Sus scrofa: one gene and its partners. The protein of the gene in region 3 purifies or fractionates together with the protein of the main gene of each other region. This does not show direct contact. Links are inferred from orthologs where the notes say so. Each region holds a gene or a part of one and is shown on either strand. Other genes may lie near its edges. The genes, in order: TIPRL, PPP6R2, PPP6C, ANKRD44, ANKRD52, PPP6R3 and ARHGEF2.

Region 1 (4,208 bases), on a different chromosome or scaffold from region 3:
TCATGGTTCCTAGTAGGACTCATTTCCACTGCACCGTGATGGAATTCTCAAGATCTGGAATTTGATTCTCTTAAAACTCTCCATGGAGTTCCCATTGTGGCTCACCAGGTTAAGAATCGACTAATATCCATAAGGATGAGGGTTCTATCCCTGGCCTAACTTAGTGGGTTAAGGATACAGCGTTGCTGTGGGGCTGTGGTGTAGGTTGCGGACGAGGCTTGGAACTGGCATTGCTGTGGTTGTGGCATAGGCCAGCAGCTACAGCTCCAGTTTGAACCCTAACCTGGGAACTTTCATATGCCGCTGGTGCAGCCCTGAAAAACAAAGAATCCAACTAGTATCCATGAGGATGTGGGTTCAATCCCTCGCCTCGCTCAGTGGGTTAAGGATCCGGTGTTTCAGAGAGCTGCGGTGAAAGTGACAGATGGAGCTTGGATCTGGCGTTGCTGTAGGCCAGCAGCTGCAGTTCCAATTGGACCCCTAGCCTGGAAACTTCCACATGCCTAGGGTACAGCCCTAAAAACAAACAAAACAAAACAAAATTCTCCATCCATCTAGTACCTCTTAAATAGTCTGAAAATTACATGGGTAATCATAATTTGAAGCTGACTAGTTCATATATAGCACAATTACAAATATGTGGTGCAATATGTAATAGAGAAAGTTACATGGAGCGAAAAACTCAGAGTAACTGTGATAGGATGAAGGGATTTCTTTTTCCTTTCTTTTCTGTATTTTCTTAATTTTTCTTAGTGACTGTGAGAATGTTTCCTTTTTTTTTAATTAGGAAGTTAAATATCCTTTCATGACTCTCCTCTCTTCCCTGGTTACTTTCCTCTACCTAAATCTTAAAATGCCTGTGCTCCCTAGGGTCCCATCTCATAACCTTTTCCTTTTCTTCTGTTTGACTTCCAAATGATTTTAATTCACTCCCAGGTATTCAGGTATATCAACTATAAGCTGATGATTCCCAAAGCTAAATCATGGACAAGTCATCTTTTTTTAAGCTCCAAGATAAATGCCTAAGACACTCTTCAACAAACTAATCTCACCTTCTATCCAACACATGCCTCCATTCTGCTCCTCCTCCTGTGTTTCTCACCTTGTCCAATAGCAATGCTTTCCCTGCAACAGCAAGCCAGAAATCTTGCCAATGGTACAGATTCTTCCTTTTTCCTTCCTCCTCCTATCAAGCAGCCATCAAATTCAGGGACTTAATCTTCTAAAATCTCTCTTCTCTCCCCTTCCAACTGTCTCCTTACCCAGGCCTACATCCTTCCAATCCATCCTCTGCATCAGCTCCAGAGAATTCTTTCAGGGTGTAATCTGATAATATCGCTCCTTTCTATAAAATGACACCCATGGACTTTCCCTGTGGCCTACAGCATAACTATACAACAGCTATGGTGCAACCCCTGGCCATGGAACTTCCATGTGCCACAGGTGAGGCCAAACACTTAAAAAAAAAAAAGACCCCCAGTGGTAGTCAGATAAAACTCAAAACTACTTAAATTCTCTTGTGGTGCAGCAGATTAAGGATCCAGCTGCTGTCACTACAGGGGATTGGGTTGCTGCTGTGGTGTGGATTCCATCCCTGGCCAGGGAACTTCCACATGTCCCGAGCATAGCCCCCCCGCCCCCAAATCAAAACTCCTTAGCCCGGCATAAAAGTTCTCTCAGTTATCTTTACTGCCCAAGGACCTGCTTGCCTCTGGCTTCTCACAACAGCAGTCCCCCTCCGATCCTTCATGCTGCAATCACACAGAAACAGTGCTTTAAGGCTCCCACTCTCTCTGACCTCCCAGCTTTACACGTGTCTCCTGTCACCCCCAAATTCTGTCGAGCTCAGGCATCACAAACGCGGCACAGCTGTCACTTTCCCTGGCCCTCCACCTTTACACATGCCTTCCACCCTCACCCAATTCCACCGACTTTATCAAGATTCAGTGCAGACATCCCAATTTCCCGCATGCCTTGTTTCCCTAAATAATCTCGAATAACCCTGTATATACACTTCTATCAATTCACACTGTATTATAACTGTCATTCTCACAAGACTGAGTTCCTCGAGGTCGGGATTGTCTTCTGTATCTTAAATGCCTGGCATAGCACCTGACAAGCTAAAAATCAAGCATATATATCATCTCCGTTATTAAACCCCAAGAAAAGAGGTCACAGCCACCCAGAAATAGTCTAAAGGTGGCGCAGGCTGGGGCAGGTAGAGAACCATGGGAGGCGAAAGTCCACCGGAACAGTCATGCTCTGCTCAAACCCAAGCGGAATGACAGTTTCACGAAGGCAGCGCCTGAAACCTGAACCGAAGGACAGAAGGCAGTGATAGCAATATTTCCTGGTGTTGCCATTCAAAGGTCCCGTCCAAGCCTCCGCCCCAGAGGAAGGCTGGGGCTGCGGGGAGCTCGCCCTTGCCTCCCGCGCAGGCCCAGCTCCCCAGCCCGCGCCCGGATCTCAGCCCTGGAGTCTCACTTCTCTACATCCGCTGACTTCATGATGTGGGTCTTGGATGCCGTCAGCTTCCAGGGCCCGAAGGAGAAGTCCTGGTGGCTGCTCTGGAAGCCGTGGATCATCATGGCTGCGATGGAGCCCGCGTGGGCTACGCAGAACAGGTTGGAGCAGCGGTGGCAGCGGCAGCGACAGCGGTAGCGGACACCGCTCCCTCCGCCTTGCTCCGGCCCAGCCCCCTCGGCTTCCCAGCCGTTACCATGCCCGGCCCCGCCCCCTGCCGGCCGACCCGGACGCAGGCCCAACTTTCCACCTTCTTCTCCGCCCCTCGGGTTTTGCTTCCGGGAGCAGTTGCCAAGGTTGCGTGACCTACGTATTACGTCAAGACGCACCGGGAAAAAGGCGGTGAGAAAATGCTGAGGGGAGAGGCCTCGACTCAGGAGGTGTGGTCGGGGTGCACCGCTCCCTGAGCTGCTGCAATGACGTCGTCTCAGGGCATGTTTAATGGAAGCTCCACGGTGGAAAAGGTGAGTTGAACGTGATCCTAGCCAACTTTGCAAAGCAGCGAGTTACCTCGCGTGTTGGTGAATTAGGGTAGAGAGGAAATGCCCTACATTTTCCCATTGAGGCCAAAATTTTAAAATCACTTAAGAGTCCAGGAGCTTAGGTCAACATCAAGAGCTACGTGACCCAGAATTGGACATCTAGCTGCTATCGATTAAGACTCCTATCAAAAATTTCCTCATTCAGGAATTCCTGTCGTGGCGCAGCGGAAACTAATCCGACTAGGACCCATGAGGTTGCGGGTTCGATCCCTGGCCTCGCTCAGTCAGTATGTTAAGGGATCTGGCATTGCGGTGACTGTGGCATAGGCCGGCAGCTATAGCTCCTATTTGACCCTTGGCCTGGGACTCTCCTTATGCCGTGGGTGTGGCCCTAAAAAAAGAATTCATCGTTCAGACATTTCAGGACTTTCCTGGTCTAGCTATCACCTAAGCATCTGGTATAGTGGAAACAGCACTTTAGACCCGTACTAAATCATCTTTTACAATGATGTTTTATGCATCCTTGGCAAACCACTTAACTAATGATTTTGGCTTCAGCTGCCTAAAATAGTATGCTTTCCTGGCCTGGGAACTCCCACATGCCAGCGGGGCCAAAATAAATTAGAAAAAAAAAAAAATCCCTTGCTCTTAGGGTGTCTATCAAATCTTTTTTTTTTTTTTGGCTTTTTAGGTCTGTGCCCAAGGAATGTGGAGGTTCCCAGGCTAGGGGTCAAATCCAACCTACACCTACCAGCCTGCACCACAGCCGTAGCAATGCTGGATCTGAGCATCATCTGCTACCTACACCATAGCTCACGGCAATGCCTGATCCTTAACCCACTGGAGCAAGGCCAGAGATCAAACCTGAATCCTCAAGGATACTAGTTGGATTCGTTTCCGCTTTGCCACAATGGGAACTTCTCCCAAATCTTTCTTTCTGGCCCCATTTTCAACTCCCTCTCAGCCCTACTCACCAGCACTCAGCCCAACCTTTGGGCCCTTACTCTTGCTGTTCTATCTGCTTGAAACTGTCATACTCAGACCTGTCCCATTTCAGAGTCAACCTGGCACCTTTTAGAACTATAGATTCTCCAGCCCCCATCCCTTTCCCTAACCTGGGATGATCTGCCTTGGAATGATACATCTCCTCCAAAAGGCTTTTTCTGAACTCTGGAGCTGGATTTAATCACTCCTTCTTCTTAG
Region 2 (4,265 bases), on a different chromosome or scaffold from region 3:
GGAACTGCCCCACACCACAGGTATGGCCAAAAGTATACATACACCCACAGGGAGTTTTTGCATTTTAGGGTTTTCTGGGGTTTTTTTTTTTTTTTTTTTTTTGCTTTTTTTGCTTTTTAAGGCCACACCTACAGCATACAGAGGTTCCCAGGCTAGGGGTCTAATCAGAGCTACAGCTGCCGGCCTAAACCACAGCCACAGCAACGCCGGATCCGAGCCACGTCTGTGACCTACACCACAGCTCACGGCAACACTGGATCCTTAACCCACTGAGCGAGGCCAGGGATCGAACCCCTGTCCTCATCAATTCTAGTCGCGTTTGTTAACCACTGCGTCACAGTGGGAACTCCAATTTTTTGCATTTTAGGATGATGGTAACTTCCTCCAAAGAGGTTTTAAGTTTGGTCCCATGGATGTTTGAAGGCATTACCAAACCAGAAAACCTTCAATTCATGTTTCACGTCCTAGAACTACCAGGCAATGTAGACCTGGGCTACACGCCCTTTAAAGGTCCATCCACTGCCACAAGCTTTTTTCCCCCTGCTACGTTTAGTAAAAGATAACCAGGTGGGGGCCGGGATGACGTGAGGAGGTACACTTCCAGTTCACCCTGCCTCCGAGGACGCCGACCGCCAGGCCCCACTTAACCGAGAAGAGCCCCCTTTAAGCTCTCTGCACACTGTGAGAACTGGACATCTCCCCTGCAGAGAACAACAAGGCCTCTGAAATCAAAGCCACACTCTGTCCAGACCAACAAATGTCCTGAGGCCAAGGCAGAGTCCATCCTATCCTGATTAAATCACCTTCTGGGTTATAATTCTGTTACATTTTGGTCTAAAACTTGCCTGCTCTATTGTCAGTCCTTTGGTTTTTCTTTTGGCCACACGTGAGGCACGTGGAAGTTCCCAGACCAGGGATCAAACCCAGGCCCCAACAGCGATAATGCCGAATCCTTAACCGCTAGGCTACCAGGGAACTCCTGGTTTTTTTTCTTGAATGCAACAATTTTAGTTGTTTTTTTTTACAGGGTAAGGAAATGTGGGGTAGTAGGTTGTGCAAATACCCAGCCCAACATTTACCAAAAGCACAGAAAAACTGTGCTGTTCTTCTGCAAATATACCTGACGCACAACATGTACTGAAATGTACATTCTCTCACCACACGGAGGAACTGCTCTGCTCTCTATCGGCCTCTACTCAAGCTAAGGAGACCTAGCTCAACCTCACTTAAGGCTTTTTTGTCTTTGCTGCCGTACAATTTCAATGTAGGAGTGTGAGTTACCTTTTTTTTTTTTTTCCTTTTTGGCCTCCCCAAGGAATTTGGAGTTCCTCAGCCAGGCGTCAGATCCGAGCTACAGTTCGACCTACACCACAGCTGTGGCAATGCCGGGGATCTTTAACCCACTGTGCCAGGCTGGGGATTGAAGCTGCATCCCAGCGCTGCCGACATCACCGCTCCCGTTGCGACACAGGGGGAGCTCGGGGTTTCCTCCTGTTTACACTGCTTAGGACACAGAGTGCTTTCTAAAGCTACGCTCTCTCTCTCTCGCTGAGTCAAAGCTACTAACACTTTGCGTAACGGCTCTCCTCCTCTTCCCACTTTTCCATCCTGGGCTCCAACTGTGTTTTTCAGGACACGCACCTCACCCTCCACTTCTCTGAGTGCCACTTCCCATCTCCCGTCTCCCGGCTGCACCCGGGAGAGCCTCTTTAGGGATATATTCCAGTTCACTACTTCTGCCTTCAGTCATGTTTAATCTGTCTAATCCACAAGTACTGAGTTTTTTATTTCAACTTTTTTTTTCATTTCTGAAAGTTCTAAGTGGATCACTGTGACACTTCGGTTTTCATTACTAATTTTTATTCCATTTTGTATTTCTTTACACACTTCACGCATTATCACATATACTGTGTCTGAGTACTGGACGCCTGCACTCGCTGGGGCACCTAATCATGCCCACTCCGATCACAAGGTGTGTGTGCGTGTGCTCAAGTTTGCTGACATTTAATCAGTGGAGTCCTGAGGGCCTACACTGAGTCTGCTTTGCTCTGAAAAGGATTTACGCTTTCTTCAGCAAGGAGCGAAAGGGTGCTATCTCTTCTTGTCCTCTCGGCCTCTGAGCAGTTAGCTTGCGCCAGGGCACTCACAAGAGGTCGCGCATCTGTCATTTACCCAGCCTCTCAGTGGACGGCAATGGGAGGCCTTTCAGGAGCACCTACCGCTGCAGGAGCACAAGTCCCCCCATCCCACCTGGCAGGTGGAGGCCTTCCCACAGGTAAGGCAGGGCATGGGCCTCTCTACACACGCCCAATGCACCCGTTTTTATCTGGATTACACTTGGGCTTGGAGGGACCAAGGCACTTTTTCGCAACACGGCATCTCAAAACCAGACACAGGAGGGTCAAAAAAACCCCAGGAGTGGCATTCCCACCGTGGAGCAGCTGTGGCCCAGGTTGCAGATGCGGCTCGTATTCCATCCCTGGCCTGGGAACTTTCATAGGCTGCCAGTATAACCAAAAAAGGAAAGAAAACAAAACCCACAAGTCAGGAAACTCTATGCACATCTTCAAAACTGAAATTTTTTGCTGTCATCCATCTCTGAATGTCCACTTATACAGCATATTTACGCAAATTACACAATAAAGTAGAATCAAACAAAAATTATCTTACCTTCCGTGGAAACTTCTTGTTTAAACTTTGTATTTAGGCAAAATATAAAAACATTTGGGATTTTTTCTTGGCGTATATGCAACCTTAAGAAAAATATTTTCACTCAATAGAAGATTTATAATCTCTTCACCTGAAAAATAAGAGGGAAAAAACTTAGGTTCTGCTTTTGTGAAGTTAACTTACCAAAATGCTAAGGAAAAGAAAAACAAGTCGTTGTCTTTACTTACTAATCAAATTTTATAATCAGGGGTCTAGAAACTTCCTTGCGTTTGACTGTTCTAGAGACGGGTACCAATGATACACACCTGTCCTACGTCTGTTAACTATTAACTACCTCAACGGTTAGAATACAAGGACATGAGAAGGCTCTCGGGCCTGAAGGTGTCCAGCTTCATGCCCAGACACTACCATCAGCAGGAAACACAGACCCTGGTGGCAAGGTGACCAGGCCGCTGACCCTGGTCGCGAGGTGACCGGGCAGCTCACTGATGATCCATCGCTACGTCAGAAGAGGAGAACTCCCAAGCGCTCCTGGTGGGTCTCAAAACACCCTTCCAAACAACATGACTAGTGGTCCTTGCTGAGATGACTGCCTTCAAGACATGCAGCAAAAACGAACCAGTAGGGCCCAGAACTGTTTATTTTGTGTTTGCATGGATCATGATTTTTAACTTTTGAAAATTATACTTTAGCAATAAGGAGTTACCATTCTGAAACATAAGAGCTTTATGAGACATAATTATCAAATGTAATATTTAGATCTTGTTTGGGTCCAATTAAAACAGATCGACTAGGAGTTCCCATTGTGGCGCAGCAGAAACAATCCAACTAGGAACCAAGAGGTTGCAGGTTTGAGCCCAGGCCTCGCTCAGTGGGTTAAGGATCTGGCATTGCCATGAGCTGTGGTGCAGGCTGGAAGCTGTAGCTCCGATTCGACCCCTAGCCTGGGAACCTCCATATGCCATGGGTATGGCCCTAAAAAGACAAAAAAAAAAAATCAAAAATAAAAAAATAAAACAAATCAACTGGAAGAGCGTGTGTGTGTGTGTCTTTTGGGGGCAGCACCCAAGCCATATAGAGGTTCCAGGCTAGGGGTTGAATCGGAGCTGTAGCTGCCGGCCTCCACCACAGCCACAGCAACGTCACATCCAAGCCGCGTCTTGGACCCGCACCACTGCTCACGGCAATGCCAGATCCTTAACCCACTGAGCAAGTCCAGGGATTGAACCTGCGTTCTCATGGATGCTAATCAGATTCGTTTCCACTGAGCCACAAGGGGAACTCCTGGAAGAGGGTATTTTTCAAGCTGCTGGAGAAATCTGAATAGGGACTGGTATTAGATGACACTACAATTCTCTTCTAAAATGACATGATAGCTATATTTTTATTTATTTCTTGGCTGTGCCTGCCACACACAGTTATAATACGCATGTTCAAGGACTTAAAGCAGAATAGAGAGAATGAGTGAAAAAGTAAAATCTCAGCAGAGAACTCAAACTACATAGAAAAACAAAAATGACTATTCTACAACTGAAAAAATACATCTGAAGTAAAAATATATACTGGATGAAGTTGATGAAATTGGAGACTGAAAA
Region 3 (4,059 bases):
CTATAAGATCAGATAGAGGCTGAATAAGGAGGTGAGATAGTAGTTCATCAAATCTCAGAAAACAGCAAGGGAGGATTCTTTGAAGCTTTACGAAGGCACTTCAAACAGGTATGACTTTGCAGAGCAGGTGGCCTTATATGAAAAACTCAGAGATGGCTCAAACTAAACATAAAAGTGAGTCTCCAAAAGATTACATTAACTATTATCCATAAAGGTGGTTATTTTTCCCTGTATTACATGAGATAGACACTAATATTCTCCAAACTCCTACCACAGAAACCATCTTCAGTTCTTCAGTAAAAAAAAATGAACACCAACTCAGTGTGCAACTTCTTTACTTACGCGGCACCTTTGAGAACTGTCAGAGAGATCAGACAATCTCCAAGTCATAGAATCTCTCCTCTGCCAAAATTCTAAAGTCTAAATATTCAATAAACCTGCATTTTATCATTCATTCTTCCAACTGGCCACAAATGGAATCTACACCTTCTATGATACACTGTGAGATATTTACCGTGGATGAGAATCACATGAAGTCTTTTTTAAGAAAGATTATGCTTTGGTCCACTCACTTGCACATATCATCCTTATTCCTTCAAAACAGTTAAGTAGATTTGTTCAAGGACTAGCAATCTAACCACTTCCAATTTAAATATAGAGATTTCATGATTAGATCTGGAACATCCTACGCATTTCTTTTTTTAGAGCCGCACCCGCAGCATATGGAGGTCCCTAGGCTAAGGGTCGAACAGGAGCTGCAGCCACTGGCCTATGCCACAGCCACAGCAACGTGAGGTCCAAGCCACATCTGTAACCTACACCACAGCTCATGACAACACCAGATCCTTAACCCACCGAGCGAGGCCAGGGATCGAACCTTTGTCCTCATGGATGCTAATAAGATTCGTTTGCACAGAGCCACAACAGGAACTCCCCGCATTTATTTCATTTAGTACCTCCAACTAAATTTAAAACACAGGTAAATTTCTGTCTTTTTCTACCAGAACAAATCTTTTTCCATGATGATCATTAAGTGGCCCCAATTATTTATTTCGTTCCTTTGATGGAATATTTTACTTTGGCTTTAACGCCTCAGAAAAAGTGCTCCTGGAATACTTTCTTGGCAGGCTTAATTTTAGTTTGTACTTCATGCCAAGAGGTATAAAATTAAATTTCTTTAAATACACAAGAGATGCAGTACAAGAAAATTAATCTGATAAAAACATTTCCAAGACAAAGAAGAGAAGCCTCCACTTACATAGAAAAAAATCAGAACTCTTTTTTTTCTAGTAGTTGGCCGGGGGGGGGGGGGGGCGGGGGGGAAGAACAGATACACACTAAGTGCAGTCCAACTGTGTTGCAAAGAGAAATGATATGGTTTAAAAACTATATTTTCTTAGGTTGGGAAGGAAACTTAATGTTTATCAAACTAAGAAGTCGAAAGAAAATCCAAGGGAGTTCCCGCTATGGCTCAGTGATAACGAAGCCGACCAGTATCTATGAGGAAAAGAAAAAACCAGTAATATCTTCCTTAAGGGGAAAAAAAGTTAATGGACAATAATAAATTACGTTAAACCCAGAGCTTCAAGAATAAAAAGGACTCAAAAGTATCAACAGTTTGTGCATGCTCCACACATCAAATCAAGGTTAGCTTAACACATAAAACATGCGCTAGTACTAATGGCTCAAACACTGCTAGACGCTTGAGCACTGGTTTTAACAAACGCATTGCAACACCTGTCTAAAAAGCAGTATCCCAAAGACTTATCTCTCTTTATTCTTCCACTCATTTCTTTACCCAAACACACATTTATTGTTACCCGGACTCGGCAGTACAAGGAACGACTCATCTCCTTTGAAAAACCAAGAAAACGAAAAGAGCTAAGAAGGGACTTGGGGGAAACACCTTAAAGGACAGAAAAGTATATTTATCGAGAGCCCACTACTTTATGCACATAAATTAGCTCAACAGTGTACTCGAAAACAGGGTCATATTGTAATTAGCGAAAGAAGACCAACACTCCTAAAAAGCAACCGGGAGAAGTGAGCGGTCCGGAAGAGGGACGACTTGACGTCCTCTCGCATCACCATCAAACCGCTCGGACCCCCATCAGCCCTTTCCCACCCTCATTTCTCAGGGAAAGAAACACACTGGGGCCGCGTGCCGGCGGCCGGCGGCATCTCCTGTCAGACGCCGGCACCCCGCGTTCCCGTCCCGCTCCTGGAGGAATGAACCCAGGCCACTCCCCGCGGGGGCCCGGCTCGGACTCCGGAAGACCGGGGGTCGAGCTGAAGGAAAGGGGGTCTTGCAAGCAAAGCTGTTAGGGCTCGGTGCCCTGGGGCAGCCCCAAGGCCAGGAGCGGCAACTCTGGGGCAGAGGCCGTGACACATCCCTCGGGAACCCCGCGGAGGGAACCGGGACAGCATTCGGCAGACTCGGGCTCCCCTCCTCTCCCCGCGTGACGTCCAGTCGGACCGGGTCCCTCTGCACCGCTTTAGGCCTTCCACCGTGACGGGACAGGATCCCGCCGGGGGTCCCGCGGAGAGAGGAAGGGCGGGCCGGCGGGCGCCCCACTGCCGGAAGGGACAAGCCCCGAAAGCAGCGTTCCCGCCTCGGCCGGGCTCACCTTCAGGTCGTTCTCGGGCAGGTACTTGCATAGACGCGCTATCTCCACATACTTGTCCAAGTCCAGGGGCGCCATTTTAGAAATAACAAGCCCCGACAGCGGCGGCGATATCGGCGGCTTTACTAGCTGCGGCAGCGGCGGAGGCCGAAGCCGGAACCCTCCCTACGTCACATCCGGCCTGTGAGAGGCGTCTGCGCAGCGGCGTAAAGTTTGACCCGATTTTCCCCGCTGCCTTGGCACGCCCCACGCCCTCGCCGGCTAAAACCAGGTTGCGGGCCCTTAGAGGCCCCCAGTTTGCATAGAGCAAGACCGGCTGAGACCCTTAGTGGTCTGCCGCGGGGGTTGCTGGGATTTGTAGTTTTCCAAAGTACCAAACAGTCTTCTTTTTCTTTTCTTCCTCTGGACTTTCACCTCTGCGGAACCCAGCGAGGCTTTTCCGGTACAAAACAGCGAAGTAGGTGACTCTACCTAGCCATTCCCTAGTTTCTCACGCCGACCTTCTTAAGCATTCTCTCACCAGAATGTCTTCAGTTAAAAATTGGATAAGCCTGGCCATCGTAGCAACCTATTCGCACCTTTCCAAGGCCCTGTGAAAACCTTGGCTGAACCCTTGACAGATAGGTTACCAACTTTCCAGGCTGGAAAGAAAAGGACCAAATACTAAGCACTTCTTATGCTAATCGTTATACAAATGCTGTTTTTCCGTGTAATCCTCATAACAAGTGATAGGAAAGGAAGGCTCAGAGAGGTTATGTAACTCTTAATCTGATCTCAATAGGGAATAGTCGGGAAGCCAAGATTGGAATAGGTCTGGTTGGTTTAAGTCTACTTCAGTCCCACGAGAGCTGAGAGGTTTTTTGTTGTTGTTGTACTCTCAGCACCAAAAACAGAGCCTGGCACTTAGTATACTTTCAACATTTCTTCACTCAACAGCTTTTTTTCTTTTTCTTTTTCTTTTTCTTTTTTTTTAGGGCCTCACCTTTGGCATATGGAAGTTGCCAGGCTAGGGGTCAAATCAGAGCTGCAGCTGCCGGCCTACCTCACAGCCACTTGGGATCCCAGCCACATTTTCGACCTACACCAGGGCTCAGGGCAATGCCAGATCCTTAACCCACTGAGCGAGGCCAGGGATCAATTCTGCATCCTCATGGATACTAGTTGAGTTCCTTACCCTAGGCTGAGCCACACAGGAACTCCCACTCAACAGCTATTAATTGAACACTTAACTAAATGCCAAGTACAGTTATGCTTGGGGTATTCAGCAGGCAAAACAAAGATCCCTATCCTCTAACTGTAGCTATATTCTAGTAAAGGAGACAGTAAATAATAACTATAGTAAATAACCGTAGAGTATATTAGAAAGTGGTAGGTGCTGGGGAAAAAAAAAAAAAAAGCCGAGTAAGGGAGTTCTAGCAATGCATATTTAAGAATC
Region 4 (2,909 bases), on a different chromosome or scaffold from region 3:
CGGATGGAAACCTCAGCAGTGGAAATGCTGGGCTTGGCCCCAGGACTGCAAGCCAGCAGTATTTGTATTTTCCGGCTTTGTCATTATTCCAAGTAAGACACATAGCAGTTAAAACAGAGAATAAACAATGGATGTTTCCTCGGGCATTTGTTTGTTTCAAATAAATATAAACACATTTACATCAAAAGTATAGGAACATTTTCTCTAGTTTGGCAAAAAATAAGCCATGGTCAACACATTACCAGTTACAAATGTTAAGCCATCAACTAGAAATCTGTGTCGTAAGAAATATAAAACACAACAAAGACTGTTACACAAAAAGATTACATTTTTAACTCCATAGAAAAGCTATTTCAGTTCTCATTTTCATTTTGAAGGAAAACAATTTAAATCTTCCATTTTAGATTGAAGCATTTTGGTCCTCATGTATAGCTGGCTGATGAACTACAGACATATATACACATACACATATGTGTGCGTGTTTAATTGCATAATTTAAAGAGTCTCATTCTTCTTTTTGTACAGCTAATCCAGGTGCGAAACGGGGTCCATTTGACCTAGAAGCTTTGGCAGAGGGAGCACAGTATTCACTATGGTGATTTCATCCTCAAGCAACTTTAACTGGTTTTAATTTCCATATCACCCATGTCTACCCCATGTTTCCACTTTCTTTGTTCCCTTTGGTCGTCACATTTCCACTCATTGGTCATGACCTTGACTGGGGAGCTCATTTCACATTTTACTCTTGAGGAACAACACTGATGGTTCTTAGGCTTTTATAAAACTAGTATTTTGATGTACAAAGGGTCATATTACATCTGCATATGTCTCAAGGTTTTGGTTTAATACACTTTTCTCCTGAAATGTTACTAAAGAGATTGGGACTCAATGAATCAGGTTAAAATTAGTCGCAGGCTTGTTACGGGGAGCGCTGGGTGCTGTGTTTGTGTTAAATGAAGAAAGCGAGTTTGGTTTTCAATGAATTTTTCCCTTCCTCTGGCAACTGTCACAAAAATCCTCAAAAAGAAGTTCTGGATATTTAAGGGCTTACTGTTGAGAGGATATGAATAATTGGACTCCCTTGAAAAGATTATTACAGGCATTATTTCTGAAGATGAACACCTCTACCTTTGGCTTCTAGTGAGGAGGTAAACATCAAAGTGAGAAGAGGTTTGAGGCATTTCCTATCCACCCCTTCCTTCCCCTCCTTGGGGTCATGAATGTCACATTGATATACTTCTGAGAACTCACGGTTGAGTAAGTACATGAAAAAAACAAACAAACAAAAAAAAACAGCTTTACAGAGAACAGCTCCCTCTCAATAATTGCATGATCCTCAAAGAAAAAGAATTAAATGCATTTTTCATTCCTTACTTAAAATGAGAGGTAGACTTTCCATAGAAGTATCTTGGATCTAAGGAAAACATGAAACAAATCAAAATTGAGGCCCATCTGCATGGGTGCTTTGCCCTACGGCCTAGCTGCCTTCCCTCGGTTTGATGAATTCCTTCTCTACTGGCTTCTGGAAGCTTGGGCCCATAATAATACTGGAACACAACATTAACCTGGAATTCGAACTTCTTTCCCTTGCTCCAACATGGGTGATCAAGGAAAAGCTGCTACAGTCCAAAGTCAGAACGTTTCCGAATCAGAATCATTTTCATTGTACCCATCCTCCGAGCCTACGTTGTTACTGCACAGGCTAACCATGCTACCCAGGTTGGAGAGGGTCGTCCTGCTCAAACTGTCTTTTTTAAAACAAACGAAGTTGACAGCCGTCATTGTGCTGGAAGGAGAAAAAGTCATCATGGTAGCCAGAATGAGGGCCAGGCAGTCAGCCACCTCTTTGTTAGGAGCACAAGCCAGGGCCGGGGTATGACCTGGGCGTAAATGCAGACAAGGCAGTGGTTAGTCTGGGCAGTCCAGTGCGGCGTGAGCATCCCGCAGTACATCTCAAGATGTATGTCAAGTTAGCAATCATGCCAGGCAAGAGGAGTTAACTTCCCGCAAGTCATGCTTGGGGCGAGGCTGGAGGGGACCGGGAGGGGGAGACATTGGATCGGGGGTGGGGGTTGGTTTGGTTCTCCCCCGCCCCCGGCTTACATGACAACAACAAGCACTGTATTATCTGAAGTTAGGCAGAATTCCAGTCTTCATCTAGTGAACAGAAACACGAGGGGGCGGGGGTAGGGCACAATTCCACAAAGAACAGCCACAGGACAATCAAAAAAGACATTCTCCCTTGAGAGCACACGCACACACCACGTGCCTCGGGCAGGGGCCAGGCACTCTCATTCTGAGAACAATGACTTTCCACTGTAGGTATTCGTGTATCAGGTTAGAAAGGATACTGAGATCCAGGTGTCTGTGGGAGTCAGTAACACCGTTTGGTCACGTTATATGCATTTTATATGAAGCACACACCAGGCAACTGGTTCTAAAGAAATGGAATCATCTGAGTAGATCAGACATGGGAAAGCAATGGTTGTGACTGTGCTATCATTTAAAAGAAACTTAGGGAGTTCCCGTCGTGGCGCAGTGGTTAACGAATCCGACTAGGAACCATGAGGTTGCGGGTTCGGTCCCTGCCCTTGCTCAGTGGGTTAAGGATCCGGCGTTGCCGTGAGCTGTGGTGTAGGTTGCAGACGCGGCTCGGATCCCGCGTTGCTGTGGCTCTGGCGTAGGCCGGCGGCTACAGCTCCGATTAGACCCCTAGCCTGGGAACCCCCATATGCCGCGGAAGCGGCCCAAAGAAATAGCAAAAAAAAGACAAAAAAAAAAAAAAAAAAAAAAAAAAAAAAAAAAGAAACTTAAACGGAATTAAAAAAAAAATAGCAACCCCATCAGCCAAAGTCCCAAATCCTAAAGGTAAAAGATGTGGGGAAACGGCTGATTGCCATCAAGTCGTG
Region 5 (4,219 bases), on a different chromosome or scaffold from region 3:
GCCTCAGCTGTGGCATATAGAGGTTCCCAGGCTAGGGGTCCAATCGGAGCTACAGCTGCAAGCCTATACTACAGCCATAGGAACACAGGATCTGAGCTGTGTCTGTGACCTACACTACAGCTCACAGCAACGCCAGACTAACCCACTGACTGAGGCCAGGGATCGAACCAGCAACCTCGTGGTTACTAGTTGGATTCGTTTGCACTGTGCCACAATGGGAACTCCAGCAATATTTCTGCCTTGATAGGAGGCCAACAAGATATTCTTTCTAAAAGTGTTCCTTTCTTAAACACATGATTTGCTGACCTCTAAACAGGACACTGTTTAATTTAATGTATTTATTTATTTGACTGGGCCTATGGCATGCCAAAGTTCCAAGGCCAGGGATTCAACCCAGGCTACAGGAGCGATCCAAGCTACAAGCAGTGACAACCTGCTTAATCCTCTAAGCCATCAGGGAACTCCCTACCTTTCATAAATCGTATCCGTTTTTCAATATCCACTTTTCTTCTTCCCTCTTTTTCCCTTTCTGGGAAAGGATAACCTCCATCCAAATCTTGTCTGATTGGCAGCTCTCTGGTCTCTTTCATGGAAGAGGGGAAGCACCTCATCCCTTTTCTGGAGAGAAACCATCGAGACTTTTATTTATTTTAATTTTTTATTATAGTTGATTTACAATATTCTGTCAATTTATGCTGTACAGCAAAGTGACCCAGTCATTCCATTGAGCCTTTTAAAGTGTAGCCACCCTACCACCTTAACCTGGCAATGAGCAATTAGAGAATTGAAAAGGCCCCTTCTGTTGCTCTTGGAGGCCGTCTTCGGCTGCCAGCTGTCCTAGACTCTTTGTGGGGTTTTCTGTGGCTGAAAGTCCTCGGTTTTATTTCTCTGCCATTTGGGCAGTTTTGCTTTCCTTTCTACTCAATTCTTGTCACCGCCGGTGGAGATACGCACCTTCCCTCCCTCTGGGGCCATTGCCATACATAATCCCCCGATCTCTACACCCCTGCCTCACCAAGCCTGTGTGTGTGTTTGGGGGGGGGGTGGATTTTGAGGTGTGTAATCCTGGGACCGGAGGAGTTTGCTCCAGCGGAGGCATTGTGGGCTCGGTGAGATCTGGCCAGCCGTTTGGTCCTCAGGTTGCAAGGTACTGCAGCAGGGCCAAGGCCAGAATTGCCGCTGGAGTTTCGCAGTGAATCCTTCGGGTCTCCAGACTGGAGCCAAGAGCACTGCGCTCCGGGCCTGGGGGAATCGGGGACCCGGAGAGCGAGGTCGGGGGCGCCGGGGCTGCTCAGGCAGCCAGGGCGGGGCGGAGGGCGACGCGGACCCAGTCTGCCTGCGCGGCAAGTGCTCTGCGGCCGGGCCCAGGACGGCCGCCAGGGAGCGCTGCGGGCTCCCGCTCGCCCGCCCCCCGGTAGGCGGGGCCGCGCTCTCCCCGCAGCCGCCGCCGCAACCGCCGCCTGGGCCGCCCCGTGTCCCCGGTGGAGCCGCCGCCGCCGCCGCCGGGAGCTCGATGCGGACGGAGCCCGGGCCGGGCCATGGGGATCCTCAGCATCACGGACCAGGTCAGCCCTCCTGCCCTTACTCGCTTCCTCCTTCCAGGGCCCGGCGCCGCCGCCACGCGAGCCCGGGGATGTGCGGCCTAGGTTGGGCCCGAGCCCGGGGCTCCCGCCCCGCCCCATGCCGCGGTCCCCTCAGCCAAGCCGGTGTCCTTGGGGGCCTGGCGACCGGCGGAGACGCCGTGGGAGCTCCCTGCAGCCTGGACCCCGGAGCAGAGCCCCTCCAGCGACGCCCCCCCTAAAACCGGGTGTCCCCCGCCCCCCTCCCCGGTTCCGCTCCGGCCCGCTCCCTGAACGCCGGTTCTCCCTGCAGCCGCCCCTGGTCCAGGCCATCTTTAGCCGAGATGTGGAGGAAGTGCGTTCCCTCCTCTCGCAGAAGGAGAACATCAATGTGCTGGTGAGTTGGGATCAGGGAGGATGACGAACCGGTAATCTCGGCCCTGGTGTTCTGGACCCCTCCCCACTAATGGGGCGGCTCCGTGTCTCCTCGGCTCGCGTGAGGCCGCAGCTCTTTCCACCCTGAGACGGGAGACTGCTCTACATTTGGGGATGGAGAGCAGGTCAGGCTTGGAGCACAGACTAGTGGGGCTGAGGATGCCCAGAAACGGTGTTCTCTTCTGAACCATCCGTGTCTGCAGCGCCCCCACCCTCCTGGAAGAAGGAGATTGCTTCGCCGGCCCCTGGCCCAGACCCCTTCACTCCACCCTCCCTAGGTGTTTGCTTCGACCTAGGATCGGGATTCACGAGGCTGTAGAGCCTATGGGAAAAGGTTGTGGGGAAAAGCTTGGAGCACCAAGACGGGCTGAGGTCCTGGATAGTTCCACCCCCACAGCCGCTCCTCTTTTCTGCCTTCCCAGGACCAAGAGAGGCGAACCCCACTGCATGCTGCTGCCTACGTAGGCGATGTCCCCATCCTCCAGTTGCTACTGATGTCAGGTGAACAGTGGGGAGCTGGAAGGTGTGGCACCTAGGGAGGGAATCTGAGGGAGGAGCCCTTTTTTTTCCGTATCCAAGGATTGTCCTCTGGTGCTTGGTCCAGGCAAGGTTCCTTCTCCATCCAGATTCCCTGGCCTGATTACTGGCTTCCTTCCCCACCTGCTCTCCACCTCCCACCAGAAGAGCAAATTATATCCCCACAGGTGCTAATGTCAACGCTAAGGACACACTGTGGCTGACCCCTCTTCATCGTGCTGCTGCCTCCCGAAATGAGGTACTCGCCTCCCTCTTCCTTTCACCCTTCCAAAGAGGATGAGTTGGTTAAAGGTGGAAGATAAGGGTTGGCGCTTCTCCGGTCCTCTGGCCTACAAGCTGGTCTACCCTCAGATGGGGAGGAGACCAGACCTTGGCCCCTCCCTCCTACCCCTAGAACTGGCTGGTAAGGGGGGTGCTGAGTGTTGCCAGCTGATGTGACGTCAAGGGAGAGCTTAGCACTGGGCTGTCAGACTGCAGGGGGCCCTGCTGCCAGGCCTGAGTGACTCATCCCTCCCTGGGGGGCCACCTTGGAGTCCGATCCCCCTCTGGGCACTGAGATTTCTTCCTTGTGATGGAAGGGTGGGGGTGGTGTTCTGTTGCTTCCTCAACAGAATAAAAGTTGGCAGCTCAGGGATCAAACATGTTTCATCTGTTGGGTCCCTCAACCCTGAAGAGTGGGAAAAGGAGACCTTCCTCTTGGTTTGGCAGTCACTTCCCTGGCTCCAGCCACCAGGGGGAGGGACAGAGGCCAGTGGGAATGGGGGTGGTGTGTGACTAGGAGGGGCATTTTAGCCTTGAGTTATGGAGCGGAACCAGTATCTGTTTGCTTACCTAGGTAATGGAATTGATTTTGATGTCTACGGAAGGGCTGACAGGGTGGGGGCTGCTGTTGAGGGCATTAAAGTAGCGGGAATATATTCCTAGAAGTGATGGGGGATTGAGATCCTCTATGTGTAGATTTGCTTGGTAGTGGCTATATATGTGTAGGTGGTGATTTTCAGGATCTAGGTTGGGGAATGGTACCAGGTAGCTTGAGGAAGAGGTCCATATTTTCCTCAGCAAGGTAGGGAAGATTTTAAGCTCTAACAAGATCCAAAAGATGGGAAATAGATGTTGAGAGACTAGGTATGTTGGAAAAACAAAAAGAGACTCTGTGCTCAGGGTGTGGGGAGATGGGACCATAGGTACTGTGCTGACCTGTTCGTCCCTCTGTCTTCTCTCTTATCCCTACCCCTCCACAGAAGGTGCTGGGACTGCTGCTGGCACATTCAGCAGATGTGAATGCCCGGGACAAGCTGTGGCAGACACCATTGCATGTGGCTGCTGCCAACCGGGCGACCAAGTGTGCTGAGGCTCTGGCACCCCTATTGAGCAGCCTCAACGTGGCTGACAGGAGCGGGCGCAGTGCCCTGCACCACGCAGTGCACAGTGGGCATTTGGAGGTGAGGGCCTCTCCAGTGCAGTCCCAGCCTCATGCCTTTTTCCTTTCCTTCCTGCTCACCTTACCCTTCTTCTGAGCCTTCAGGCCTGGGGAGGAGCAGCCCAGATGATACAAACTCTTCAGCTTAAGCACCCAATGAATGATTGGGTTAGATTGAAATTCTTTGGAGTTCCTATGGTGGTATGGCAGAAACGAATCCGACTAGAAACCATGAGGTTGCAGGTTCGATCTCTGGCCTTGTTCAGTG
Region 6 (3,500 bases), on a different chromosome or scaffold from region 3:
GGCCTTCCTGGGTAACAGGAAGCACTGCCAGTTTTGAAGCAAGGCCGGTATCAACCCGCACGGCTCTTTCACATAAAAATTTACCCGAGCTTTTAGAAGTTAACGTATTTTTTTCAAAGGCCAGCAACGCAAGCCTTCCTAACAAACAACAAAATATCCACTAGCCCTTGGCTAAACCAGTCTTAGGATCACGGGATTCAGACAGGCTCAGGACCCCGCCCGAAACTGTCAAGCTCCTCCGCTGTCCCGAGTCTAAAGAGCGCAGCGTGTCCTCACGGCTCCGGGGTCCCTGGTCTCCCCCTTCGGCCGCAGGACCCCGTCTCCACGCCGGGGGCAGACGTGCCCGCGCGCTGTCCCCAGCCAGGCTCTCCCCCGAGGGCTTCCGCTGCAGACAGACGCGCTCCCATCAGAGGCGCGACGCGCTCCCCCCGAGGCCCGGTCCCTGAGGCTCACCGCTTTGAGGACTCAGAGGACCGCCTGCTCCTTCAGAGCGCGACTCGGACGCCGCGGGCCAGGGGGCCGGGTTGGAACGTCCGTGTCCGACACTCAGGCACTGGCACAGAAGAGAAAGGCGACTTACGCTCATTCAAGTCCACCTCCATCTTGTCCTCCGCGTTGGCGCCACTGGGTTCAAACAAGTCCGGCTTTGCTCCATCTTCTTCTTCAGAGTCCGTGCTCTCCTCACTGTCTGTGCTCCCCGAGCTAAGAAAGAAGGACCAAGACGTGTGATGCTGCACACCGGCCACCCACTACGTTCAAAGACCTCGAGTTATGCAACCACACAAACTGTGCCACGCTTCACCTGGGTCACACCTGCCTGCCTGGCACCCTGCTAAGACGAAGCCTGGTCATCAGCGGCTCTACCTCCTGGGCTTTGCGTGGAGAACAGAGGTCACAAGCTAACCCAGCGCCCTCCGGCGGGTGTGTGGCGGCGGCCCTGGCGGTGGGTCTGCCCGCCCTGAGGGCCTAGGAGATGAGCTTCTTTTCAAGGGCCCTTGGTCACCTGCTTACCTTCTTTTCTCGAGTGTCTTTCACACCTTTAGCCATTTTTTTTTTTTTTTTTTTTTTAAGAGCTGTACCCACGACATATGGGATTTCTCAGGGCAGGGATCAAATCGGAGCCACAGCAACATAGGATCCGAGCCACGTCTGCAACCTACACCACAGCTCACGGCAACTTAACCCACAGAGCAAGGCCAGGGATCGAACCCGCAGCCTCGTGGTTCCTAGTCAGATTCATTAACCACTGAGCCATGACGGGAACTCCCATCATTTTTTTGTGACTAGAGTTTTGAGAGTTCTTTATATCCTCTACCTGGCAATCTCTCATCAGACATGTGATGTGCCAAGGCTTTCTCTTAACGTATGCTACGTCCTTTCATTCTCTCAAGTGTCTTCGAAAAATAACGGGTTTAATTTTGATAAAGCTTAAGTTATCAAAATTTCCTCTCAGGCAGGTGCTTCTGGTGCTGTAGCCTGGAAATCTCTGCCTGACACGAAGGGCTCCTAGGAAACATTTTCCAGTTTTACATTGCACCCTCGGTCTAAGACGCACTCTCAGTTAACGTGTATCCACGTTGGCTACGGACCAAATTCCCTGATTCACAGGCTGACATCCAACTGCTCCAGCACCCGTTTTTCAAAACGCTATCCTTCTCCACGGCACAGCCTCTGCCCCTCCCACCACACACCAAGGGCCCCACGCACGCGTGCACAGGCCTGTTTGGGGGCTCTCTATCCTGTCCCCGCCCTGGCCCCTGCCTGAAGGAGGACCCTGTCTCAATCACTGCACAGTGAAAACAGGCAGTGTGAACACCTCAAGTCTGTTATTTACCAAAGCTGTTCTGGCTATTTCAGGTTCTTCGCATTTTCAATACGAGTTTAAAAATCTACTTGTCAATACCAAAAATCCGTGCCGTTGTGACTTTGAGAACGCACTCAACTGAAATCACCCTGGGGAGAACTGTCATCTTAAGTCTTCCAGTCCATAAACATTTCTCAAGCCTTGATTTCTCTGAGCCGTTGTACAGGTTTCAGCATACGATCCCTTCAGTACTGCATCAGCTACAACCTCCAAATTCTGATAGACGGCGTTTTCATTTCCTTTCAATTCAAAACACTATGTAATTTCCCCTTTGATTTCTTCTTTCATCGCATGTTCTTTAGTTTCCACATATCTGGAACTTTCTAGAGCTCTTTTATTGATTTCTCATTTAACTCCATTGGGAGCAGAGAGCGTATTTAGTCATGACTTGAAACTTTTTTACTGAGACTTGCTCTATGGCCCAGTATGGCCTCGCTTGGCACACGCTTCCCGCCTGCTTCTCTGCGCAGCTCGAGCAGCTTTGCTCTGGGAAGCCCCGCAGCTGTGGGACACCTGGGGCTGTTCGGACGCCCTCCTAACGCCGCTCTGTGGCCCTTTCTTCACCCTTTCCTTTAAATCTACTTGAATGTTCATACAGATTCCTCTACCTTTTCCTTTAACCTGTTTGAATTTTTTTAATTTACAACTTGAGTTTTTAAATAATTTATGTCCCACAGGCAGCATAAGTCAGACCTTATTTTCCAACCAGTCTGACAAGCTCTGCATTTTAATTGGGGTTTCTGGACCGACTGAATTTTAGAAACTGGGGGCGGGGGGAGAGGCTCGATGGATACCAATCGACGGGACGCCGTCTCCCCAAGTTAAATTAACTTTTAGAGGCAACTTTTCCCTTCCCAGGGAGACGTTCAGTCTTCCTAGGAAGCGATTCCTCACACGGCTGCTGTTGCCACTGCTAAGGGACCGTCCACCCAAAGCACTGCGTCGCTCCCCACGGCGGCGCCGGACCTCCGTCTAAACACTAAGCACTGTCTTCCCTTCGGGGGTTCCCAAGGAGGTTTCCTTGGCTTGCTCATGCTCTCCTCACACCGCAGCCCACTGATCGCGACACCTGTTTCTCAATCACGGCATTTCTCATCACGAGGGACCACCGGCCTCTCGGTCAAGCGCACGTCTGGAGAGGATACAGTGTCTCCTAAGGACCATCTGCTCTGTGCACTGGGTGCTGTGGCTGCGACGACGACGCACTATCTTTCACCTGGATCGCCTCTGGGACTCCGGCGTGAAGGCGACGTGCTTTTCCTCCCAGATGTCCTCCTCGTCAGAGCCCCCATCGTCAAACTGCTGTATTCGTTCCTTACAGCAAGCTTCAAACAAGGCAATGTTCCCCTAAATAAAGAGACGAGACCAAAAGAACAAATCTGAAAGCCAAGTTATTTTCTCCCAAACTCACCAATGTAAATGAATTCTTCCATGTCCCTTAAAAAGAACAGCACCCTACCACATACACCAAAATAAAACGTGATAAGCATCAAATGTCAGCTTCTGGGTAAGTAACAACCAAAAGTCCCCCCCAAAAGACTGGCTTCACAACCGGCAGACAAGAAACCTGCCCACATACACCCACTGCCACCAAATGAAAGCCTCATTTCAAGCCTGAGAGCCTCCCTGCCACCCC
Region 7 (3,500 bases), on a different chromosome or scaffold from region 3:
GCCAGCTGTTAGAACGCCGACGCCAGGCTCTGTGCCCTGGCAGCCCCCGGAACTTTGTCATCCATCGCTTGGGTGACCTTCTCATCACCCAGGTGAGAAAAGACAAGACCCATGGGCAACATTCCTGGGAGGAGGTGTGACTAAAGTCATTTTTCAGCTCCAAACTCTAGGGGGTGGAGCCAGGGAGAGCTGGAGAGGCTTGGAAGCCAGCCTGTATGGCAGGAGACTAGAGGGTGTGGGGGATAAGAGGTGGCTTTGGGGGAAATGCTGACCCAGCCTTGCTCCCCCAACTTCTAGTTCTCAGGTCCCAGCGCAGACCAGATGCGGAAGACCTATTCGGAGTTCTGTAGCCGCCACACCAAGGCCTTAAAGCTCTATAAGGAGCTCTATGCCCGAGACAAACGCTTCCAGCAGTTTATCCGGGTGAGCAACCCTCTCCAGGACCCAAACTCAGAACCTCCTCCGGTGGTCCAGCCCTTGTAGACACATCTGCCTGTGGATCCTGTCAACAGCCCCCCATAGCAGTAGACCAAGTGCTTTTGCTACTTTGAGCCTCATGATAAACCCATGGCCTTGTCCTCCCCATTTTCCAGTCTCAGTCACCTATGCCAGCCAGCGCATGGTAAATGGCCAAGCTAGGGCCCACACCAGGGCTTAGGCTCCAAGTCCAGGGTTCTTTCTGTTGTCCTCGGCTCGGGTCCCACCTTGGCCCTGAGCCCTGCCTCTGTCCTTCTAGAAAGTGACCCGCTCAGCCGTGCTGAAGCGCCATGGGGTACAGGAGTGCATCCTGCTGGTGACTCAGCGCATCACCAAGTACCCGGTGCTCATCAGCCGCATCCTGCAGCATACCCACGGTGAGAGGGAGGACCCGGGAGGAAAGAAGATGGGGAGAGGGCTCTCTGGGGTGAGAAGCGGCTTGGGATAACCAAGAGGAGAGATAGAGTCAGCTGTGGGACCGTGGGCCACCTCTGATGGTGAGGTGAGATGGGTTGGAGTATGGTGGCTGGCATGAAGCTGGCTAAGCCACTTCTCCCTCACGCCGACCCGTGGTGCCAGGGATCGAGGAGGAGCGCCAGGACCTGACGACGGCACTGGGGCTGGTAAAGGAGCTGCTGTCCAATGTGGACCAGGATGTACATGAGCTGGAGAAGGGGGCCCGCCTGCAGGAGATCTACAACCGCATGGACCCCAGGGCCCAGACCCCAGTGCCTGGCAAGGGCCCCTTTGGCCGAGAGGAGCTTCTGCGGCGCAAGCTCATTCACGATGGTTGCCTGCTCTGGAAGACAGCAGCGGGGCGCTTCAAAGGTCAGTGGTCAGCTTGGCAGACCAGGGAAGAGTCTGCGAGTCCACGATCAGATTTAGAGAGGGAGAAGCATCCAAACACTTAGGACTTTTTTTTTTTTTTTTTTTGGTCTTTTGTCTTTTTAGGGTTGTACCTGTGGCATATGGAGATTCCCAGGCTAGAGGTTCAATCAGAGCTATAGCTGCCAGCCATAGCCACATCAACATGAAATCCCAGCCACATCTGTGACCTACAACATAGCTCATGGCAATGCGGGATCCTTAACCCACTGAGCAAGGCCAGGATTGAACCTTCGTCCTCCTGGATACTAGTCGGGTTCGTTAACCACTGAGCTACTCCTCCTTCAGGACTTATTTATGCAGCCCTATATCCTGGGTGAAACCTCATGGGAGGAAAATACATGTTCTCTGTTGCAACAAAAGTCTGAATTCTGGATTTAATTTCATGGGCCATACAAGGACTTCCTTAGTGATTTTTTTTTTTTTTTTTTTTTGGTCCTTGTATACCCAGAAACCTACCAGTTTTGATCAGGAAGACAGAGAAATTCCAGGGTCAGAGATCAGGGTTGATTCTTCCAGCTTGAATCCCAGCTGCTGGGGCTGGGGAATGGGCAGGAGTTTTGGGAGCACAGTTGGGGAAGGCCCAGGGGAGGGGGCGGAGCCCAGGGAGGGGCCAGCAGGGTAGAGAAGAGAGTACAGAGGGGGCATGTTGGGGCAGGGCATGCTTTCCCAGGCTCTCTTCCCAGACTGCTCTGGCCAAGTCTTTCCTACCTAAATCAAGACAAGAGAGTTGCAGTTTTCGGCTTTGGGGGTGAGGAATGAGGGGCAGAAGTAACCAGTACTACCTGAGACCAGAACCTGCCTGCACCTCTGTCCCATATCATGAAATCCCCACTCCATGGGCTTGAGTATCACAGGCTTCACCAGCCACTTTCCTTCATCCCTTTCTCTCCTCTCATCCCTCCCACGCAGAAGCTAAGAATATAAACTCTGGGGGGGATTAAAAATAGCAAGGCTGGAGAGCTTTATTTCTGAAGCATTTAGTGAAAGCCCTCCCCTTCTGTGTGCCCACTATTAGATCTCCAAGGGCAGAGTGAGTGTGTTTGCTTGACTGTGCTATCCAGTTTTCATGGGCTTGACCTTTGTTTCCCCCAAGTCTTTTTTTTTTCGGTCACGCCTGAGGCATGCAGAAGTTCCAAGGCCAGGGATCAAACTGGTACCACAGCAGTGATAATGCCAGATCCTTAACCCTTCTTGGAGGCACCAGAGAACTGCCCCCTAAGTTTTAAATTGAGAGCACAGGACCTCGTAGGATCTTGAGAACCTGGAAGGTGGGGTAGAGAAGGAGCATGAAAGCAGGGCCTGCTGAGGTTGGAGACTGGGATTGTTCAACGGTGGGAGAGGGGGATAAGGAAGCTAGCTGCTCCCCTCCCTGCGGAGGAGCACAAAATGAGAAGTAGGACTACGCCAGGGTAGGGGCAGGGGTGGTGGGATAGGGTGACCTTAGGCCAAATGTCCAGAAAGGTCTTATGATTGTTGTTTGACATGGAACTGAAAGGCTTAAAAACAGTAGTCCCTCCTACTGTGGATGGAATCCTTTTACCCTCACATAAATTCTGGACCTTTGCACACTGAAAATTACACGTGTGTTGTATGAATATGTAAAATTGCTTATGCAACTTTGGAGGCTTTGCAGAGCCCTGAAGCCCAACAGTGGACATCCTAGGGATCTGTAGACCCCAGGTTAAGAAACCTGCATCCCCTGGATAGAGTGTTTTTTTCAAAGGCATTGGGTGATTGCTTATGGGCGCTTTAGCCCAAGAAGCTGTTTTATCTAATGGCACATACATTTTTCTCCCAATTCCTGAGCTGTAAGAATGGATCAGGGGGAGTCTGCAAAGGTAGAGGGAGCAAACCAGAGGCAGAGAGATCAGGAAGAGGGGAATCAGGAGCTCTAGCCTGACGGGGTAGACCTGGTTCCTGAGAAAGGGAAACAGCTGCTCACACCCTCCAATGCTGAGTGTTCTCCTGCCTTTATCCTCCTGTCAGATGTGCTGATGCTGCTGATGACAGATGTGCTGGTGTTTCTCCAGGAGAAGGACCAGAAGTACATCTTTCCTGCCCTGGTGAGACCTTCCACCTTCTCCTTTCTCAGCACAGACAAGTGTTTCAGGCCCCTTCTTGATTTCCTACTCCAG

Evidence for each region.
Region 1: the proteins of PPP6C (region 3) and TIPRL purify together in Homo sapiens (co-immunoprecipitation; 4 studies listed by BioGRID and IntAct, with this or other methods). This does not show direct contact. The link is inferred for Sus scrofa from reciprocal best matches to the Homo sapiens genes PPP6C and TIPRL.
Region 2: the proteins of PPP6C (region 3) and PPP6R2 purify together in Homo sapiens (affinity purification with mass spectrometry; 9 studies listed by BioGRID and IntAct, counting the BioPlex papers as one, with this or other methods). This does not show direct contact. The link is inferred for Sus scrofa from reciprocal best matches to the Homo sapiens genes PPP6C and PPP6R2.
Region 4: the proteins of PPP6C (region 3) and ANKRD44 purify together in Homo sapiens (affinity purification with mass spectrometry; 5 studies listed by BioGRID and IntAct, counting the BioPlex papers as one, with this or other methods). This does not show direct contact. The link is inferred for Sus scrofa from reciprocal best matches to the Homo sapiens genes PPP6C and ANKRD44.
Region 5: the proteins of PPP6C (region 3) and ANKRD52 purify together in Homo sapiens (affinity purification with mass spectrometry; 6 studies listed by BioGRID and IntAct, with this or other methods). This does not show direct contact. The link is inferred for Sus scrofa from reciprocal best matches to the Homo sapiens genes PPP6C and ANKRD52.
Region 6: the proteins of PPP6C (region 3) and PPP6R3 purify together in Homo sapiens (affinity purification with mass spectrometry; 10 studies listed by BioGRID and IntAct, with this or other methods). This does not show direct contact. The link is inferred for Sus scrofa from reciprocal best matches to the Homo sapiens genes PPP6C and PPP6R3.
Region 7: the proteins of PPP6C (region 3) and ARHGEF2 purify together in Homo sapiens (affinity purification with mass spectrometry; 4 studies listed by BioGRID and IntAct, with this or other methods). This does not show direct contact. The link is inferred for Sus scrofa from reciprocal best matches to the Homo sapiens genes PPP6C and ARHGEF2.

What each region holds. Positions count from the first base shown.
Region 1 is NC_010446.5:82,791,966-82,796,173, forward strand, and holds the start of TIPRL (TIP41-like protein), read right to left. Parts: upstream 2,801-4,208; 5' UTR 2,589-2,800; coding exon 2,485-2,588; intron 2,438-2,484; exon of another isoform or gene 1,053-2,437; intron 1-1,052. UniProt on the Homo sapiens protein: May be a allosteric regulator of serine/threonine-protein phosphatase 2A (PP2A). Isoform 1 inhibits catalytic activity of the PP2A(D) core complex in vitro. The PP2A(C):TIPRL complex does not show phosphatase activity.
Region 2 is NC_010447.5:338,728-342,992, forward strand, and holds the start of PPP6R2 (serine/threonine-protein phosphatase 6 regulatory subunit 2), read right to left. Parts: upstream 2,801-4,265; 5' UTR 2,671-2,800; intron 1-2,670. UniProt on the Homo sapiens protein: Regulatory subunit of protein phosphatase 6 (PP6). May function as a scaffolding PP6 subunit. Involved in the PP6-mediated dephosphorylation of NFKBIE opposing its degradation in response to TNF-alpha.
Region 3 is NC_010443.5:265,895,347-265,899,405, forward strand, and holds the start of PPP6C (serine/threonine-protein phosphatase 6 catalytic subunit), read right to left. Parts: upstream 2,801-4,059; 5' UTR 2,703-2,800; coding exon 2,628-2,702; intron 1-2,627.
Region 4 is NC_010457.5:100,870,878-100,873,786, forward strand, and holds part of ANKRD44 (serine/threonine-protein phosphatase 6 regulatory ankyrin repeat subunit B), read right to left. Parts: intron 1,881-2,909; coding exon 1,633-1,880; 3' UTR 565-1,632; coding exon of another isoform or gene 506-564; 3' UTR 1-505. UniProt on the Homo sapiens protein: Putative regulatory subunit of protein phosphatase 6 (PP6) that may be involved in the recognition of phosphoprotein substrates.
Region 5 is NC_010447.5:21,654,290-21,658,508, reverse strand, and holds the start of ANKRD52 (serine/threonine-protein phosphatase 6 regulatory ankyrin repeat subunit C), read left to right. Parts: upstream 1-1,419; 5' UTR 1,420-1,538; coding exon 1,539-1,565; intron 1,566-1,872; coding exon 1,873-1,956; intron 1,957-2,416; coding exon 2,417-2,495; intron 2,496-2,698; coding exon 2,699-2,769; intron 2,770-3,772; coding exon 3,773-3,973; intron 3,974-4,219. UniProt on the Homo sapiens protein: Putative regulatory subunit of protein phosphatase 6 (PP6) that may be involved in the recognition of phosphoprotein substrates.
Region 6 is NC_010444.4:4,411,922-4,415,421, forward strand, and holds part of PPP6R3 (serine/threonine-protein phosphatase 6 regulatory subunit 3), read right to left. Parts: intron 3,212-3,500; coding exon 3,081-3,211; intron 703-3,080; coding exon 581-702; intron 1-580.
Region 7 is NC_010446.5:94,067,891-94,071,390, forward strand, and holds part of ARHGEF2 (rho guanine nucleotide exchange factor 2), read left to right. Parts: coding exon 1-92; intron 93-297; coding exon 298-423; intron 424-736; coding exon 737-854; intron 855-1,056; coding exon 1,057-1,305; intron 1,306-3,351; coding exon 3,352-3,428; intron 3,429-3,500. UniProt on the Homo sapiens protein: Activates Rho-GTPases by promoting the exchange of GDP for GTP.